3 linked regions of the Arabidopsis thaliana genome follow. The protein of the gene in region 3 purifies or fractionates together with the protein of the main gene of each other region. This does not show direct contact. Each region holds a gene or a part of one and is shown on either strand. Other genes may lie near its edges.

Region 1 (6,410 bases), on a different chromosome or scaffold from region 3:
ATACACAAATCTTACAATCTATTATGCGTTTACGCATACCATGTGATTGGAAGATGATTCCATCGATCTAGATTAGATATGTTTTGTTATTTGTTCCTGCTCTTGAGAAACCTTAGGAAAACAAAAAATTTGGGAGGTTTTGGGTGGTGAAGAAAAGTTTCTTCTTTTATTATATTTTGGAAATATGGATATATGATGATAAGAGATATCAATCTATGAATTTTTTATTTTCCTTAATTAGTAAAAAATTTCGATCTATGGATATCAGTATATCGTCTATGAATTTTTTATTTTCCTTATGATAAGAGATATCAATCTATGGATATATGAATTCTTTTAGTTTCCTTATATATTGAATATCATATTCTCTTTTCAAAGTATGGAAACTTTATCGTCTCTTGCATGTGATCTCGCCGTTAAAACTTATAGTATATTCTGTAGGATTGATGATATGTAAACGTGTTTATTCATTTAACTTTCTTACAAAAAAAATTGAAAGTAAATTAGGTATGTAATGTGTAATGCGATATTTCAAGACGCACAAGTATATATTAGTCGGAACATTTTGTCAAATTCTTTTACTTTGGGAATACCGAATACGCATGATACATTAGGCATTAGCGAGAAATAAGAAAAAAAAAATGTCTCATTAAATGGTCGTGCGTTTTTATATCTATATCCCACCGACAGCCGACAAAACCATAGCAAGGCATCTACTGATCTACTAATGCTTCGGAATAGACCGATGTTGGATATTGTGAGGAAATATAAAATTTACCGGATACAAATATTTCTGTGTTTTGTTTTGAAATTTGAAGTTACTTGTTAAGCGTCTTGATGGATTAAAGTTTTTTGAGTCGAAAAACAAAAGAACGGACTTTCTCATGTGAAAGCATTAAAAAAAAGAGTTCTTGCTACAAAACAAGTTACAAGAGATGGTAGAAATACACTTCTTTATTCGAAACATAGAATTTTCGTATTAGTCGTCCAAACAGAGCATTGAATATTCTTTACTGAACTAGTTTACCATTTCATACTAGACTTCTTTACATACATTATAGACGTATATTCCTCATTAAGGTGAATATTATGACAACTTATGGTTAATAGGTTTCAAACGTCATTGTTGAATAAAAAAAATTATGTGAAGATCAAACCATAAGAGGGACGTGGAGGATCTCATAATCATTCACCAACTTTGTTTACCAAACAAATCTCCAAATTTGTGTGGCAAGAATTGTTGGTACTGACTCCCAAAAATGAAATTAAAAGTGAATATCTCACCAACTCCCTAATGGGCTCCACCCACCAATCCCGCTACCTCCTTCTCCTCATGTATACTCTTCACAAACAACACACACCAACTCTCCTCCCCACCTTCACATTTTCAATTCCATAATTAATCCCCTCTTAAGCTCTTATATCTTAATTAATACTACGCTTTACAATACAACATACACTAACCCCTTAATTAACCCTTAAACAATTGTTTTAAGCTTTAACTAGCCAGTGAGGACTTGACAAAAGTCAACTAAAATTACCAGTAAACTAGTACTAATTCAACGGAATTAAGTTCTACCAGCTTATATAATTGTAATGTCATGCCATGATCAAATACATTTTTTTATTATGTAAACCGTCGTTATACGTATAATTCTCGAAAGTTGTATATAATTGACCGTGCCCTTAAATTTGAAAGATAAAAATTAGTATCATTCTGGATACATGGATTACACGTATTTTTATTTATCATATAGTATAATGTTGTAGAGAGGGTAAAAACCTAAATATACGTATTTTGATGTACATGTACGTATTATTAATTTAAATAGAAAAATAATCAGCCACCACGAGTGAGTGAGAGAAACCAAGGAACGATGTGTAATTGATTTGCTATAAATAAGCTTAACACAGAACACTCTCCATCGTCGCTCTCTTTGCCCATCTCTCATCTCCACTCTTCTCATTCCGTAAGGTACGCTTCCGAGTTTCCATGGCTTCCGCATGACTATTCTTGCTCTCTCCCTTCCCACTCTCTTATTTACCTTCCGTCTCTTCGTTTTCTTCTCAATTCAATTTTCGTTTGATTCCGTTTCTTCTTCGTTCGTTAATACTTAGATCTTAATCCGGTGAGTGAAATTCTATGAAACACAGATCTGGATTTTTTATACGATCAGATTCGTAAAATCTCTGTTTTGCGATCTTTCTCTGCGTTAGATCTCTGTTTTCCCTAGTTGTGATTCGTTTTGATCTTTAAACTCTCTCATACTCTGTTTTCAATAAATACGACAAAAAAAACTGCAAAAGTTTTTTACTTTTTTAACGATTGGTGGCTTTTACCATATGACAAGAAGTACATTTTAGGATTGTGTTTGGTTTACTGACTGATTTTGGTTTTGTTTGTGGTTCAAATGTAGTAAAAAAACAAAAAACAAACAAAAATGGCTTCCCACATTGTTGGATATCCACGTATGGGACCTAAGAGAGAGCTCAAGTTTGCATTGGAGTCTTTCTGGGATGGCAAGAGCAGTGCCGATGATTTGCAGAAGGTGTCTGCTGATCTCAGGTCTGATATCTGGAAACAGATGTCTGCTGCTGGGATTAAGTATATCCCAAGCAACACCTTTTCTCATTATGACCAGGTGCTTGACACCACCGCCATGCTTGGTGCTGTTCCATCTAGATATGGATTTACCAGTGGTGAGATCGGTCTCGATGTTTACTTCTCCATGGCTAGAGGAAATGCCTCTGTTCCAGCTATGGAGATGACCAAGTGGTTTGACACCAACTAGTGAGTTTCTTCTCTACTCTTTAACTTGTGTGTTGACATTGTTATTGGATTTGTGAGTTGTGTTATTAACGTATTTTTTTAATGTTTCTGTTTGATGCAGCCATTACATCGTCCCAGAGTTGGGCCCTGAAGTGAAATTTTCTTACGCATCTCACAAGGCTGTCAATGAGTACAAGGAGGCCAAGGCTGTACGTACTCAACTAATTTTCCTATTTGAACATATATAGGCTTCTTTTGGTCTGGTATTGAATGTTCTAATATAGTAATGTGGTGTTGTTAATGCAGCTTGGTGTTGAGACCGTCCCTGTACTTGTTGGCCCTGTCTCTTACTTGCTTCTTTCCAAGCTTGCTAAGGGTGTTGACAAGTCATTTGATCTTCTCTCCCTTCTCCCCAAAATCCTCCCAGTTTACAAGTAAGAGATTACTTTTGCTCTAGTACTCAATTATTCTCTTTGACGCTAGGAAATTTGTTTCTGACATACTATTGGAATGGTGAATCTTTTCTCAGGGAAGTCATTGCAGAGCTTAAGGCAGCTGGTGCCTCCTGGATTCAGCTTGATGAGCCTCTCTTTGTCATGGATCTCGAGGGTCACAAACTCCAGGCTTTTAGCGGTGCCTATGCTGAGCTTGAATCAACTCTCTCTGGTCTGAATGTTCTTGTGGAGACCTACTTCGCTGATATCCCTGCTGAAGCATACAAGACCCTTACTTCCTTGAAGGGTGTGACTGCCTTCGGATTTGATTTGGTTCGTGGCACCAAGACCATTGACTTGATCAAGTCAGGTTTCCCACAGGGCAAGTACCTCTTTGCTGGTGTTGTTGACGGAAGGAACATCTGGGCCAATGACCTCGCTGCCTCTCTCATCACCTTGCAGTCACTTGAGGGTGTTGTTGGTAAAGGTATTATATTCTTCCAGAATCTCTTATGTGGATTACTCAATTAGAAGTGTTTAATTTGTTATCTTTCTCTAACTCGTTGGTTTTGTTATTTGTGAATTGGTGCAGACAAGCTTGTGGTCTCAACCTCTTGCTCTCTTCTCCACACTGCCGTTGACCTTATTAACGAGACTAAGCTTGATGCTGAAATCAAGTCGTGGCTAGCTTTTGCTGCCCAGAAGGTTGTTGAAGTTGACGCATTGGCCAAGGCTTTGGCCGGTCAGACAAATGAGGTATTGTAAAAATCCTACAAACATGTTTCCCAAGTGAACCCTTTGTTTGAAAAAGACTTCAAGTCTCTAATATTTCTCTCTTTCAGAGTTTCTTCACTGCCAACGCTGACGCATTGTCTTCGAGGAGGTCTTCCCCAAGAGTCACCAATGAGTCTGTCCAGAAGGCTGTAAGTTCTTGCTTTCATACTCAAGCTTTCTTTACTATTATGATGGTTTTCTCTGTATGATATATGTTTCTATTGATCCTAATGATTTGTAATTCCTGCAATCTCAGGCTGCTGCTTTGAAGGGATCTGACCACCGCCGTACAACTGAAGTTAGCGCAAGGCTAGATGCTCAGCAGAAGAAGCTTAACCTTCCAATCCTCCCAACCACAACCATTGGATCCTTCCCACAGACCGTGGAACTCAGGAGAGTTCGCCGTGAATACAAGGCCAAGAAGTTAGTCTCTTAATCATAATTTTTTTGCATTGATCATTTAAGCATGTTTAGTAAGTTGATTGTGATGCTAACTGGAACTCTTTCTTCTACTAGAATCTCTGAAGAGGATTACGTCAAGGCCATCAAGGAAGAGATCAAGAAAGTTGTTGACATCCAAGAGGACCTTGACATTGATGTTCTTGTTCACGGAGAGCCTGAGGTCAGTCTTTGTCTCTTACTAGACCCTAAAACTAATTACAACGTCCTGTTTCTGACTCAGCCATGCTTTGACAATATTATAGAGAAACGACATGGTTGAGTACTTTGGAGAGCAATTGTCAGGTTTCGCATTCACAGCAAACGGATGGGTGCAATCCTATGGATCTCGCTGTGTGAAGCCACCAGTTATCTATGGTGACGTGAGCCGCCCCAAGCCAATGACAGTCTTCTGGTCCTCAACAGCTCAGAGCATGACCAAACGTCCAATGAAGGGTATGCTTACAGGTCCAGTCACAATTCTCAACTGGTCTTTTGTCAGAAACGACCAGCCCAGGCACGAAACCTGTTACCAGATCGCTTTGGCCATCAAAGATGAAGTGGAAGACCTCGAGAAAGGCGGTATTGGAGTCATTCAGATCGATGAAGCCGCACTTAGAGAAGGATTGCCTCTTAGGAAAGCCGAACACTCTTTCTACTTGGACTGGGCTGTTCACTCTTTCAGAATCACCAACTGTGGCGTCCAAGACAGCACTCAGGTAACAACACTGTACACTTAAAATCTCAAATAGTGATGAATGTTTCTGCAACTAACTTCTTTATTTTATCTTCTAGATTCACACTCACATGTGTTACTCAAACTTCAACGACATCATCCACTCAATCATTGACATGGACGCTGATGTCATCACCATTGAGAACTCTCGTTCAGACGAGAAGCTTCTCTCAGTGTTCCGTGAAGGAGTGAAGTACGGTGCAGGAATCGGTCCTGGTGTTTACGACATTCACTCTCCGAGAATACCATCCACAGATGAAATTGCAGACAGGATCAACAAGATGCTTGCGGTTCTTGAGCAGAACATCTTGTGGGTTAACCCTGACTGTGGTCTGAAGACAAGGAAGTACACTGAGGTTAAACCAGCACTTAAAGCCATGGTTGACGCGGCTAAGCTTATCCGCTCCCAGCTCGGTAGTGCCAAGTGAAGAGCTTGAAGATATTATTTCTATATTCCGGGATTTTTCTACGTGGTTTGTGTTTGTTCAGTTTCAATAACTTTTCTTCCAAGAAAAATATTTTAGCCAAAGTTAGGTTTTGAGGGAATGGAGTCACACTCTCTCGCTTTCGTTGAAGAGAGTTTACGGCTTTATACTATATGTTTCTCTTGTTGCAATGTTATATGTATCTTTGTTTTCTCTAATGAAATATATGCTTCTTTGATCTCTTGAAAGTGTGGATACGAATTAATTTGTTATACAAGCCCCCAAAATGTGAAATCTTAAAATCACTACTAGTGTTGTAGAACTAAAGAATTTGCTGAAAATAATCCATTATTGTTATAAGATCATCCACCATACTACAAAAAGATTTGATTTGATACCATGAAAAAGGACACAGTTTCGAACCTTTGGAATGCTCGATTCGTGCATGTAAAGATCACTTGACGTGGTATACCAGAGAACCAAAAGTAGTACTATATTTTCATGTCTTGTTAACCATTTCTTTTGCATGGTGTAAGCATTTCTTTTCAAAGTACCAAAAGTGCGGTATTTCATTTTATGTGGAATTTCTTTTCCAGAAATTTATAAACTTTATCACCGAACGCAAGTTACACAATAACACTGCAAAAGTGAACCCAAAAAAAAAAACCCTGTAAAAGTAAAAATTTGCTTAAACTTAACATTCTTTCACCGCTCCGTGACGTGGACATTTGGCTGGCAAAGAAAAGGCATAACATCCAATCAAAGATATCCACGTAGTCCGATTTATGTCACGAGAGCTGACGCGTCACATTATGCATTTTTTTTTTTTTTTT
Region 2 (4,472 bases), on a different chromosome or scaffold from region 3:
CAGGGTTAATCTCTCAAGCAGCAAAGCTAGGTGCACAAGGTGTGCCCTCATTCCGGTCATTTTCTTTTGAAGAGTTAAAGGAAGCCACAGACGATTTCGATTCATCACGTTTCTTAGCTTTGGAATTATGCAGGAAAATGGCTAAAACAGAGGGCGATGTGTACAACTTTGGATTCATACTTCTGGAATCTCTGATAGGACCAGTACCTACTACAAAAAGGAGAGGCCTATCTTCTCAACGAAATGGTATCATATAGGGTAAAGAAAAGAAGCAAATCTTCATCATTGTTAATAGCTGTTGCTGCAATGTTGTATTTGCAGACGTCATTTGGGAGCCAAGACTGTCGACAGAAAATAGGAAGTCCAACGGTCCTAACAACAAGCTCGCAGGAGTCTTTACCCAATTGCCATCTCAATCGCCAATAAATGTGTTTTGCTTGAACCTTCTGCAAGACTTCCTTTAAAGATGTTCTCTGGAACTTACCATATGCAGCTCAAATGCAGTCTGCCGCAGACGCTGAACGCAAATCTGATAAGTCGTCGTGAATCCAAAGGCTAACCTGATGATTGATAGTTGTTTTCGGATTTATAAATGTTATGTTTTATAAGTTTGGTTTTTCAGTAGAAAAATGTAATACTCTAGCGGCTAAAAAACATAGTTTCTTGTCTCTCTTGAAACTTTATTCGTTTAACAAATATTGATTGAAGAAGATGTTGAGTTTTGTAGTTGGCGAGAACTTCTCAATCTTCAAGAACAAGGTACTGAGGCAGGAGACTTGTCAAATGTTCTTGGAGAATTTTGTCTTTGAATTGCAGAATCGATCCCAAATATTTTATTATTATAAAAGCTACAAGAATACAGTTTCTAATACATGTATTAGCAAAAAAGTAACAGTAAAACCAAGGGCTACACACTTTTCTTAAACAGGAACTTTGGAGTCCACTGATTTGAGAACCTCCTCACCCATTTCCTTGCATCCCACCAGTTTCTGCATTTTCAAAACACAAAAAGACTTCTTTAAGTATATTGTCATTAACTTATACAAAACAAAAGACAGAAATCATCATACACATACATTTCCGGGGGAGTAGATGTCTCCGGTTCTGAAACCTTTGTTCAGAGCATCCACGACCGCGTCTTCAATCATCTTTGCAGCCTTTTCTTCTCCAAGTCCATACTTGAGAAGCATCGCCGCACTGAGAATGGTGGCCAATGGGTTTGCCTTGTCTTGTCCAGCTATATCTGGTGCTGAACCATGTATAGGTTCAAAGAGTCCAGGTCCCTAGTTTTCATCACAAGTTTAACAATCAATATATGATAATAATAAACAGAGGAACCTTGAAATATTAGATTTAGTCTTACTTACCGATTCACCAAGACTTGCAGATGGAAGCATCCCAATGCTACCAGTGATCATTGAAGCTTCATCAGACAATATATCACCAAAAATGTTATTGGTGACGATTGTGTCAAACTGCAATAATGTTTTTAAAAATGCCGTGAGTACTACAAGTTCCACTTCTGTGTTAGCTTAATCAACGGCTAAGCTTTATATATGCGCGAAGATCACCTGTTTCGGGTCACGGACAAGCTGCATCGCAGCATTATCGACATACATATGTGATAGTTCAACATCTGGATATTCAGAGGCTAAAGCTGTTACTCTTTTCCTCCACAATATTGATGCCTATACGAAACAAAACAAAAAAATAATTGTATAACGAAAAACACACAAGAGTGGAGTGGAAAAACAATTCAAAACATACATCCAAGACATTGGCTTTGTCAACAGAACACAGCTTGCCACGCCTTTTCCTAGCAGTCTCGAATGCAACACGAGCAATTCTGTCAATCTGAAGAAGATAAAGCAATGCATTAATACACATACATTGTCACAGAGCAGCAGATTGTGAAGAGTAAGTAGTACCTCGTGAGCAGCGTAGATCTCTGTATTAAAACCGACTTCTTCGCCATTTTCGTTGATCGTAATGCCTCTTGGCTCTCCAAAGTAAATACCTCCAGTGAGCTCCCTTACAATCATCATATCAACACCTTGTGCTACTTCTTTCTTCAGTGTGGAAGCATCAACTAGCTGAACAAGCAAAAACAGAAAAATTTGAGTATATTTACAACTAGAAAGCAAAGTGATAAGCAAATCAATACCTGTGGTAAAACTGTAGCAGGTCTCAAATTAGCAAAGACATTGAGATCTCTTCGAATGTTAAGCAGACCCATCTCAGGTCTCAGATGTTTCTCATTCTTGTCCCATTTGTACCTGAACAAAAAATCATCATAAAGAGAATAAATTTGCTGAAGAAACAACACACACACGCATTACACATACCCTCCGATAGCTCCAAGAAGAATGGCATCAGACTGTTTAGCAGCAGTGGAAGTTTCCTCCGGCAATGGAACTCCGACCAAATCCAAAGCTGCTCCGCCGAAAGGCATCTCCTGGAAATCAAACTCTAGTCCTTGGAGAAATCCAGCTTTCTGAAGCACATTCTTAGCAACAGATATAACTTCTGGACCGATACCATCGCCGGGAAGCAGAGTGATGTTATACCGTTTTTTCACCGGTGAAGCGGCGGCGCACCTAATTCGATACGGCGCACGAAACTTATGATCGGTGAGAGAACTGTATCTTCCCGGTATGATCTCCAGACGGATGTTAGTTTGCAAAAACGCCGCCATCTTTTTTTCGAGTTTAGGGCACCACCATCGGCAAAAACTAACCATTTGAGTATACTACAGAGACCGGTTATCTCTGGTTATTTGTTAACCTGATTTTGGTTCAATGTTCTCATTAATTTCAATTTTAAGTTCTATCAGCTTTTTGGACTCTCTCATGTCCACCATCCGTTCACTTGGCCGCGTTCATATAAACCAAAAACCGAACAACAACAAAAATTCGAAAATTCTCCGGCGACACCAACAATGGGAAGGTCTCTAATATTCTCTGGAAACATGTCATTGAGAATCTCTCACTTACCCAGATCATCTCTTCCGCTGCAAAACCCAATTTCAGGCCGGACAGTGAACAGAACTTTCCGATATCGGTGTACGAGGATTTTGTCTAATAGCTTCAAGTCCACAACGAGACTTCAAACCAAAGCTGTTCTGTCTGAGGTTTCTGATCAGACGCGATATCCCAGAATCGGCGCTAAAACCACCGGAACTATATCTCCGGCACACCTCCTTGAAGTCGTTGAACTCGCCGCTAAAACCGGCGCTGAGGTTCGAAATTTCATGTCTGTAGAATACAATATCTGAATTTATGTTTATTGGAAACAAAAACTCTTGATGAGACTTGAAATTGTGTTCAATGGTACTAGAATCAAGTTCTTGGGTTCGTAGGGCACAACTGCACAAGGAGAATAATAACAAAACTAACTTGAATTGAATCATCTGGTTTGTTAGGTGGTTATGGAAGCTGTAAATAAGCCAAGGAATATTACTTATAAAGGTCTCAGTGACTTAGTAACTGAGTAAGGACTTCTTCACCTTTTAAAATTGTTAGCTTGAGGTTTTAACTATGTTCATGTTGACTTGATTGGTTGAAGCTATTAAAGTTTTAGTACTTTTGATGAATTTGCAGTACTGATAAAGCAAGCGAGGCTGCTATTTTGGAAGTAGTGAAGAAGAATTTTAGTGATCATCTTATTCTTGGTGAAGAAGGAGGTATCATCGGCGATTCGTCTTCTGATTACCTCTGGTGCATTGATCCTCTAGGTTTAGCTCTCTTTACAAATCTCATTGCTTTCTTTTCATGTGTTTGTGTGGAATCTCTGAGATTTTTAGTATTAGTCTCTTAATTCCTTTATGCATAGATGGAACTACAAATTTTGCTCATGGATATCCCAGTTTTGCTGTTTCCGTCGGTGTTCTGTATCGTGGAAATCCCGCCGCTGCTTCTGTGGTAAATCCAATATATACTTGCACAAACCAGCTAATGCTTGTTAGTTCCTATTTGCTGATTCTTTGGTCAGTAGGATTAACAACAAAATCTCATCATGCAGGTAGAGTTTGTCGGTGGTCCGATGTGCTGGAACACTCGAACCTTTTCTGCAACTGCAGGTACTATGTGACAAGCTTATGTTTGGCTATATATCTAAATTTTGTCTAACTAGTTCACTTCTTAGGTGGTGGAGCATTGTGTAACGGGCAAAAAATTCATGTCAGTAAGACCGATGCTGTAAGTAACTTATCAAGAATCCAATTTTAAGTTTCGACATGGTGTGTTCAATGGTTTTGGTTTATTAGATATTTATTCGGGTTTGAATGAAGGTGGAGAGAGCACTTCTTATCACAGGGTTTGGTTATGAACATGATGATGCATGGAGCACTAACATGGAACTGTTCAAAGAGTTTACTGATGTGAGTCGGGGAGTGCGAAGACTCGGTGCTGCTGCAGTTGACATGTGTCATGTTGCACTTGGGATTGCGGAATCATATTGGGAGTACCGTTTAA
Region 3 (7,734 bases):
TAAACAAACTTTTGAAACAAGATCTAGAAGAAGCTCGTGACAAGACTAGTTCACTTAGAAGACAAGAAGGTTTGGCTTACCAAAGCTCTTATTTATAGCAAAGTAAACGAGATGGATCAGAAAGAAAGAAAGGAAATCTATTAAAAAAGTGGGTTATTGGGGTTAGCTTTGAATTGTGATTTGTCTCTTAAGTCTAAATTCGATAGGAAGCAGTATTTTTATCCAGATCTTCTTCAAGGTTATCAGATTTGGATATTCCTCTTGAGTTTGGTGGTGGACATAGGAGATTTTGGTATTACTAGGGTTCATATGGAAGAAGATGCTGGCAAGTTACTTCATTCAGACACAGGAGATTACTCTCAGGTTCATATGGAATTTATGACAAGTTTCAGTTTGGTTTTATCAGATTCTTGTATTGGTTTTAGGCTTCAGCTGCAAGATGTTTGTGTTTCTTATGTATTAGTTGGTTACTCTAATGGTGCAAGTAGATTTGAATAGAGCAGGTGTTCTTGAACATGATCTGAGAATTGGTATAGATGCTGCTGAATACGCTTGTGAAATGCAACAGATTGCGAGGTCTTTGGGAGTCAGTAATGGGAATATGCAAGAAGGCTCTCTTATTCCTTTTCAAAAACAATAATATTCAACTCTTGCAAGTTGCGAAACATGGGAGCCTAAGCGTGTAAGAATAACCCACTGAAACTCATATATTGCATGAGATCACTCACCTTTTAACCTAATCCTAGACAGACTTATCTGCCTTTTAAAAAAGACATTTTAAAACAGAAACAAACACTCTTTTATTTTGCTCCATAACTTGTGTATTGCTTCCTTCACTATTGCTTGCTCAAGTTTCTGATAACATATGGAAGTATGCCTCCATGGTTAAAGTATGCCAATTCCACCTGCACATTTATTTTACCATTATTAGTTCCTTCACATTGAAAAGCTTTTTTTCACTAAAGATTGGAGTATTTAGTTACCTCTGTGTCGAAGCGGACTGTGCAAGTGAAAGATTTTCCGTTGTCGGTAGTGACGGTAACATCTTGGCCAGGTCTTATCTCTGAGATATCGGTTGGGAGATGGATCGTGTAGCGTTCGTGACCAGTCAATCCAAGAGTATCTGCGTCTTCACCGGACTTAAAGCACAATGGGATGATTCCCATTCCCACCAAGTTGCTTCGGTGAATCCTCTCAAAACTCTTTGCAATCACCGCTTTAACACCCTGACAATCCCAAACTTGTTGTTTCAGAATAAAACAGTAAGATTGGTTTATGCGGAAAGAAACTAGAGAAGCGGTTCTAAACCTGTAGCATGGGTCCCTTGGCAGCCCAATCACGTGAGCTACCACTTCCATACTCAGCTCCAGCCAGAATAATTGTGTCTTCACCAGATGACTTGTACCTCTGATACATTTGACATTATGATAAGGAGACATTCGACATGATCAACATACAGTCAGTAATACAAATTTTAATTAGATAAATACAAACCATGGCAGCGTCAAAGACTGAGAGCTTCTCTCCAGATGGAATGTGAACAGTCTTAGGGCCAACTTCACCATTCATGAGCTTGTTAACGATACGGATATTAGCAAAAGTACCTCTGGCCATTATTTCATCATTCCCACGGCGACTTCCATATGAGTTGAAGTCCTTACGGTCAACGCCACGCTCCATGAGAAACTTTGCAGCAGGACTGTCCTTTTGGATGTTTCCAGCTGGTGAGATGTGATCAGTGGTGATACTGTCCCCAAAATTGAGTAAACAGTAAGCATCCTTCACATTGTGTGGACCAGGAGGATCCATGGTCATGTCCTTGAAGTATGGAGGCTCGTGAATGTAAGTTGAGTTGGGATCCCATGAGTAGAGGGTATTCTCAGGAACAGACAGCTTATTCCACATGGGGTTACCCTTGGTGATTGACTCGTACGTTGCTCGGAACATGTCAGGCAAAACACTGGATTGAACAACCTGATCCATATGTCAAAAGATTAGTTTAATATTTGTGTATAAAAAAGATGTTATTGTTCTCTGGTTAAGTCGTATATACCTCAGCAATTTCTTCCGTGGTTGGCCAGATATCTCTTAAGAAGACGTCCTTGCCATTCTTTCCTTTGCCAATAGGCTCCGTTTCAAAGTCAATGTTAACCTGGAAAATAAGAAAGAAGAACGCCAAAATTACCAATGTGATAATCAGTCATGTGTCATTATCTCATACAAAATGTAAGTTGAACTTTGACAAGTTCTCAAGATTTATTACCGTGCCAGCAAGAGCATAGGCAACCACCAACGGAGGAGATGCAAGGTAATTGGCTCTTGTTAGTGGATGAACACGCCCCTCAAAGTTCCTGTTACCGGATAGCACAGCAGCCGCCACAATGTCTAAAACCAAGCAACACAAATATTGAAAACAAATCAGCTACTTACTTATATATAATAGTAATATAAAGGATGGAAAGTCCAAAGTAAGTTTAGTTGGGAATCTCAATAATACCATTTTCGGTAATAGCAGCTCCCACTGATTCATTAATTTCCCCAGAATTCCCGATGCATGTAGTGCACCCGTAGCCGACAATATTGAAACCCTGTTCATTCAGATATTCTTGCAATCCACTGCATGGAGTAAGATGTTACACTTAAATTTACCATCACATAAGAAAGAATTAGCCTTTAACAACGAAGAACTAGATAAAAATACGACATACCTCTTTAATAAGTATTTTGTAACAACTCCTGAGCCTGGAGCAAGACTTGTCTTTATCCAAGGCTTAACCTACAGAGGCAAGTTTTTGAAAAAGGGATCAGAAAATGTCGAGGCATCAGATAGATTTCTAGTTTGCTCTCGTGAAACCAACCTGTAGCCCAAGGTCACAAGCCTTCTTTGCAACAAGACCAGCACCAAGCATGACGCTGGGATTTGATGTATTAGTACAGCTTGTGATTGCAGCAATCACCACACTTCCATGTTTAAGCTCTGCTGGTTGTCCATCGAACGAAAAATTTACCACTTTTTCTTGTGCCTCTTTAGGTATAGCAAAACCCTGCGGAGAATGAATAGCAATATTCAGAAATAAACATTGATTTCCAAAATGTGCACCAACAACCCAGTCTATAGAACGAGTAAATGGTTAAGAGATTAGACATCCACAAAGTGAAACATCCAGTTACATACCTTGAACCCAACTTTACTGTCAAGACATGAATGCCAGTCAGCTTTCATTTCCTTCAAAGTAACACGATCATGTGGCCTGCAAAGAAGATATCAATAATATGGTCATGACCAATTATTCAGACAATAAACTTCGCGATTACAAAAACCAACAGAACCCATACCGCTTTGGTCCAGAAATGCAAGGTTCAACATCATCCAGATTCAGTTCTAGATATGACGAGTAAACCCGGTCTTGCTGAGGCTGAAATTTATTCACAAGCAAAGTCAAATAAAAACCTGAAAGGAGATTAAGAAACAAAAAAAGAAAGAAAGTATAAGGCTAATTTACCTCATTGTAGTCAACAAACATATTGTTAGCCCGAAGATATGCTTCAATCATAGCCACCTGCCATGAAAGTATTGTATCAGACCAGATATCTGAATATATATAGAAGGAAGATTAAAGTCAAACACTCACTGTCTCATCGCTTCTTCCAGTCAATTTGAGATATTGTAGAGTAACATGATCCACAGGGAAGAAGCCCATGGTTGCACCATACTCGGGAGACATATTGGCAATTGTCGCCCTGTCAGCTAGGGACAGCCCACTCATGCCATTACCTAAGAAGAAAAAAGTAGACTTATAATGCTCCAACAAACACATGTCTATTATAAAAGAGCAAAACACTTAAGAGCTCACAAGGATATAATTACCATAAAACTCAACAAACTTTCCAACAACGCCATGCTTCCTCAGCATTTGAGTCACTGTTAGAACCAAATCAGTAGCTGTTACACCATTACGCATTTTTCCGGCAAGTTTGAATCCAACAACACCAGGCAATACCATACTCATGGGCTGTCAAACCAAAAAAGCGTTATCAGTATAAGAAAAATTCACAAACCTCACTGTATTGGAGCAGAAGAGTCATAAAATATAGTGATCTAATCTAAAATTCAGTAAAGTTGACTCCAGATTAACCAACATCTGATGTGCGTCATGTAAATAATCAAAATAATTTACCTGGCCAAGCATTGTTGCCTCAGCTTCAATACCCCCAACACCCCATCCAGCAACTCCCAAACCATCAATCATAGTTGTATGTGAATCAGTTCCAACCACGCTGTCTGGGTAGAGAAGGCCTTTGGTATTGAACACAACTCTTCCAAGATATTCCAAATTGACCTGAATTTTCAAGATGAGGTTAGTTTGAGACAAACTTCAAGACAGATAAAAGAAGATAATAAATGAAAAGAAACATTTCAATACACTGGAAACATGAGGTTGAAAAGGATATATATCAATGTCAGAACAAGTTTAGAAACAACTTATGGACTCGCACACTTTAAAAAAGAGAATTACCTGATGCACAATACCAGAGCCAGGAGGCACAACAAGCATGTTCTGGAACGCAGTAGAACCCCATTTAAGGAAAGCAAACCTCTCCTTGTTCCTCTGGAACTCAAGCTCCATGTTTGCTTGCACTGCATTCTCTGATCGAGCTACATCTACTTGAACCGAGTGATCAATCACAAGATCCACCGGAACCTGAGAGACACAGTATAACATAAGAAATCTAAAAGAACCCTAACCTAAACAAAAAGCATCAATCTGTGGCAAACAAAAACATACCAAGGGATTGATTTTGTTGGAATCACTTCCCAGCTTATTCATCGCATCACGCATACAAGCAAGGTCAACAACAGCTGGGACTCCCGTAAAGTCCTGAAGAAGAACACGAGCTGGTTTAAAAGGAATCTCTACTTGTTTAGGAGATGTCTTTTCCCAGTCAATAATCTTCTCAACATCTTCCTTAGTAACTTGAAAGTTATCACAATTACGAATCGCAGATTCAAGCAGAATCCTAATAGAGTAAGGAAGTTTATCTGCAAATACAACACTCCTCTTCAGATTCTCAGGTCCTTCATAAACTCATTCAAAGAGAGATTCAAAAAATCCATACCAACTCGTGGATCGTTAAGAGCAGGTAAGCTATAGAACTTTCCGAATTCACCACCACCAGGCTTAGGAAGTGTAGTGAAGATCCCTTTAAACGGATGCTCTGACGCTGAAACAATCATAATCACAAAACAGTTACTACTAATCAACAGAGATCGGAATAAAAAACTCAAGCTAGATCAATCAGATCGAGATATTTTACCCATGGAAGAGAAGGTTCTCTGGAGACGATCTAAGACTGGAGAAACAGCTCTGATCTGAGAGGTGAAGCGAAACGGAGATGGTTTCGAGTGAAAGGAATGGCTCCAGCGACGGAAAGCAGGGGAAATGGTACCAAAAGATCTACGAGCGAGAAGAGACGACGGAGAAGTAGATGAAACGGAGGGAGATAAAACCGATCGGAAAGAGAAAAGAGAAGAAGAGCGAGAAGAAGCAGCTCGGATGATGGAGGAAGAAGCGGAAGATGAAGCGGTTAAATACATGATGATGAAATCACGCTTCCAGATGCAGATTCAGATACTGACAGAGAAGATGAAGAAGATAAGGTTATTGATTGATCAATTGGGATCGATCATGGAGGATTTTGAATCTGACGTCGGAGTGATGAATGATTGAAGAAGCGAGAGAGAGAGAGAGGCGTGTGGAGACGAAACGAAAATGCCTAGGGCTGCGTGCCAATAAGTCAATCTTCCCTCTCTCGCAAGGGAATATTTTTTTTTGTTTACGGTATTTTTTGGATTTTAATCTACGCAGCCCCTCTCCTCCACATAATTTCTATTTAGCCCCTATTATTAAAATAATATATATTTTTATTTATTTTAATTTAAATAATTACTTAAAAATCAAATAAATCTCATAACATTTTTACCTGTTTGAAAAAGACAACGTAATATATAGTTTCTTAATATATAATCATATATATATGAAAATTGGTCAACACTCTCCATATGAATGACACACCATCACACAAAAGCATCACACAAAAGTTTGACATATATCATTCTATATTTTTAAATTTAAAAAATAATAAAATTAAAGGTAATATTAGTAGATAACCAAATAAAACATACAAATTAAGAAACTAGCAGAGATAAAGTTTTTTGTTACAAAATAACCATGGACCCACGTTGTCGGAAGAAAGGAAATAATAAAGCTATCCTTTATTTGTTGTAAGATGAAAAGTAAACGAAACACATCCGTGTAATTTTTCAAAATATCATGTAACATTAAAATTTCACATGTTATATTTAGTTTAAAAACATGCTATTTCATAATACGTTATGAATTTTTTTTTTTAAAACATTATTATGAAATTCTTTTACATGAACAGAATCTTAAAACAAAAATTATATGTGATTTTAATAAAAACCATGTATTACTAAAAAATAAGAATATTTTTAAAGAAATCACGTGTGATCTCAATAAAAAACGTGTATTACTACAAAATATCATGATAAAAAGATATATTAAACTGAATACAATGTTTTTTCCAAAAAATAGCATGTGCTTTTTATAAATACTATGTAATAAGAGAAAATAACAAGTGTTCTCCAACATGTTTCCGACAAGATACTGTGACTCAAGGTTAGTTTGTACATTCTTTTCAAATCTATAGTCATTTATTATAAATACTCTAAAATTAAATGTATGATTAATCCTATTCTTAATTGATTCAAAATAAAATAAAAAAAAATTATGTTAATAAATTAAGCACTACTTTCATTATACTCTTTATTTTATTAAATTTTTATTATCAATAATCACTACTAGATAATGACTTTTTTTTGTGTTGTAGTTGTTTGCTACCAAACCTCTTATTAGTTTAGTATATATTATTCTCATGAACATATTTTCGTCATTAGTTTTCTAACGTTGTCCTTCGCGATTCATCATTAGTTAGACCGATACAGATTTCTTATGTTAATCTTATTTAGAGATCTAAAATCTACATATACATTTTTCAGCTACTTTAACAAATAAATCTTGTACTTGAACTTATTTACAATGTCATGCTATTGACATTAATTATTAATAAATGAAATATTTAATTAAAGATGTAAATCAAAATTAGTTTGGTAAAAATTGCTAAAACACTGGACACATCTTTACTAATATTACGGCAATGATCATTTAGAAATCTAATCATATATATGAAAGTTGGCCAACTCTTTCCATATGAATGACACATCATCACACAAAAAAATGACATGTGTCATTCTATATTTTTTAAATTAAAATATTAATCATATTAAATAAGCAAATTAAATGTATCATCAATCCTACTCTTAATTGATTTTTTCAAGATAAAAATAAAATAAAAAATTATGTTAATAAATTAAGCACTACTTTTATTATACTCTTTTTATTTTACTAATTTTTTTGTGTTGTACTTGTTCGTTACCTAACCTCTTATTAGTTTAGTAATTTTATTTTGAGTCTTTGATAACATTGACACTCAAGTTTTTTCAAATAATAAACCTTTAAAACGTTAGACTTACCAAATAATTTAATACACGATCATTTCTCTTATATTGATATATGCAATGAGAGAAGATCTAAAAGTATTGACTTAAATACTGCTTTAATTTATGCTTTTTTTTTTAATTCTTTTCATATGAAT

What was found. Proteins that work in one complex are often made in the same cells at the same time.
Region 1: the proteins of ACO3 (region 3) and MS2 fractionate together in Arabidopsis thaliana (co-fractionation; one large-scale study listed by BioGRID). This does not show direct contact.
Region 2: the proteins of ACO3 (region 3) and IMD3 fractionate together in Arabidopsis thaliana (co-fractionation; one large-scale study listed by BioGRID). This does not show direct contact.

What each region holds. Positions count from the first base shown.
Region 1 is NC_003074.8:955,161-961,570, forward strand, and holds MS2 (methionine synthase 2), read left to right. Parts: upstream 1-1,701; 5' UTR 1,702-1,975; exon of another isoform or gene 1,976-2,129; intron 2,130-2,417; 5' UTR 2,418-2,441; coding exon 2,442-2,791; intron 2,792-2,891; coding exon 2,892-2,979; intron 2,980-3,076; coding exon 3,077-3,204; intron 3,205-3,299; coding exon 3,300-3,691; intron 3,692-3,796; coding exon 3,797-3,960; intron 3,961-4,046; coding exon 4,047-4,127; intron 4,128-4,234; coding exon 4,235-4,401; intron 4,402-4,494; coding exon 4,495-4,600; intron 4,601-4,682; coding exon 4,683-5,135; intron 5,136-5,211; coding exon 5,212-5,580; 3' UTR 5,581-5,872; downstream 5,873-6,410. Other genes in the region: AT3G03776 (hydroxyproline-rich glycoprotein family protein), read right to left, coding at 40-63. UniProt on the Arabidopsis thaliana protein: Catalyzes the transfer of a methyl group from 5-methyltetrahydrofolate to homocysteine resulting in methionine formation.
Region 2 is NC_003070.9:11,141,923-11,146,394, forward strand, and holds IMD3 (isopropylmalate dehydrogenase 3), read right to left. Parts: upstream 2,796-4,472; 5' UTR 2,741-2,795; coding exon 2,346-2,740; intron 2,277-2,345; coding exon 2,165-2,276; intron 2,094-2,164; coding exon 1,929-2,093; intron 1,855-1,928; coding exon 1,768-1,854; intron 1,689-1,767; coding exon 1,572-1,688; intron 1,476-1,571; coding exon 1,368-1,475; intron 1,284-1,367; coding exon 1,077-1,283; intron 990-1,076; coding exon 921-989; 3' UTR 539-920; downstream 1-538. Other genes in the region: IMPL1 (myo-inositol monophosphatase like 1), read left to right, coding at 2,939-3,238, 3,422-3,489, 3,600-3,733, 3,832-3,920, 4,021-4,078, 4,144-4,196, 4,289-4,472.
Region 3 is NC_003071.7:2,139,453-2,147,186, reverse strand, and holds ACO3 (aconitase 3), read right to left. Parts: upstream 5,859-7,734; 5' UTR 5,597-5,858; coding exon 5,317-5,596; intron 5,224-5,316; coding exon 5,119-5,223; intron 5,042-5,118; coding exon 4,788-5,041; intron 4,704-4,787; coding exon 4,518-4,703; intron 4,341-4,517; coding exon 4,179-4,340; intron 4,014-4,178; coding exon 3,869-4,013; intron 3,776-3,868; coding exon 3,633-3,775; intron 3,561-3,632; coding exon 3,504-3,560; intron 3,417-3,503; coding exon 3,337-3,416; intron 3,252-3,336; coding exon 3,176-3,251; intron 3,045-3,175; coding exon 2,859-3,044; intron 2,777-2,858; coding exon 2,709-2,776; intron 2,617-2,708; coding exon 2,498-2,616; intron 2,386-2,497; coding exon 2,264-2,385; intron 2,153-2,263; coding exon 2,054-2,152; intron 1,975-2,053; coding exon 1,495-1,974; intron 1,408-1,494; coding exon 1,309-1,407; intron 1,227-1,308; coding exon 984-1,226; intron 906-983; coding exon 837-905; 3' UTR 509-836; and 1 more. UniProt on the Arabidopsis thaliana protein: Catalyzes the isomerization of citrate to isocitrate via cis-aconitate. Contributes to oxidative stress tolerance. Modulates cytosolic citrate metabolism during lipid mobilization. Required during seedling growth.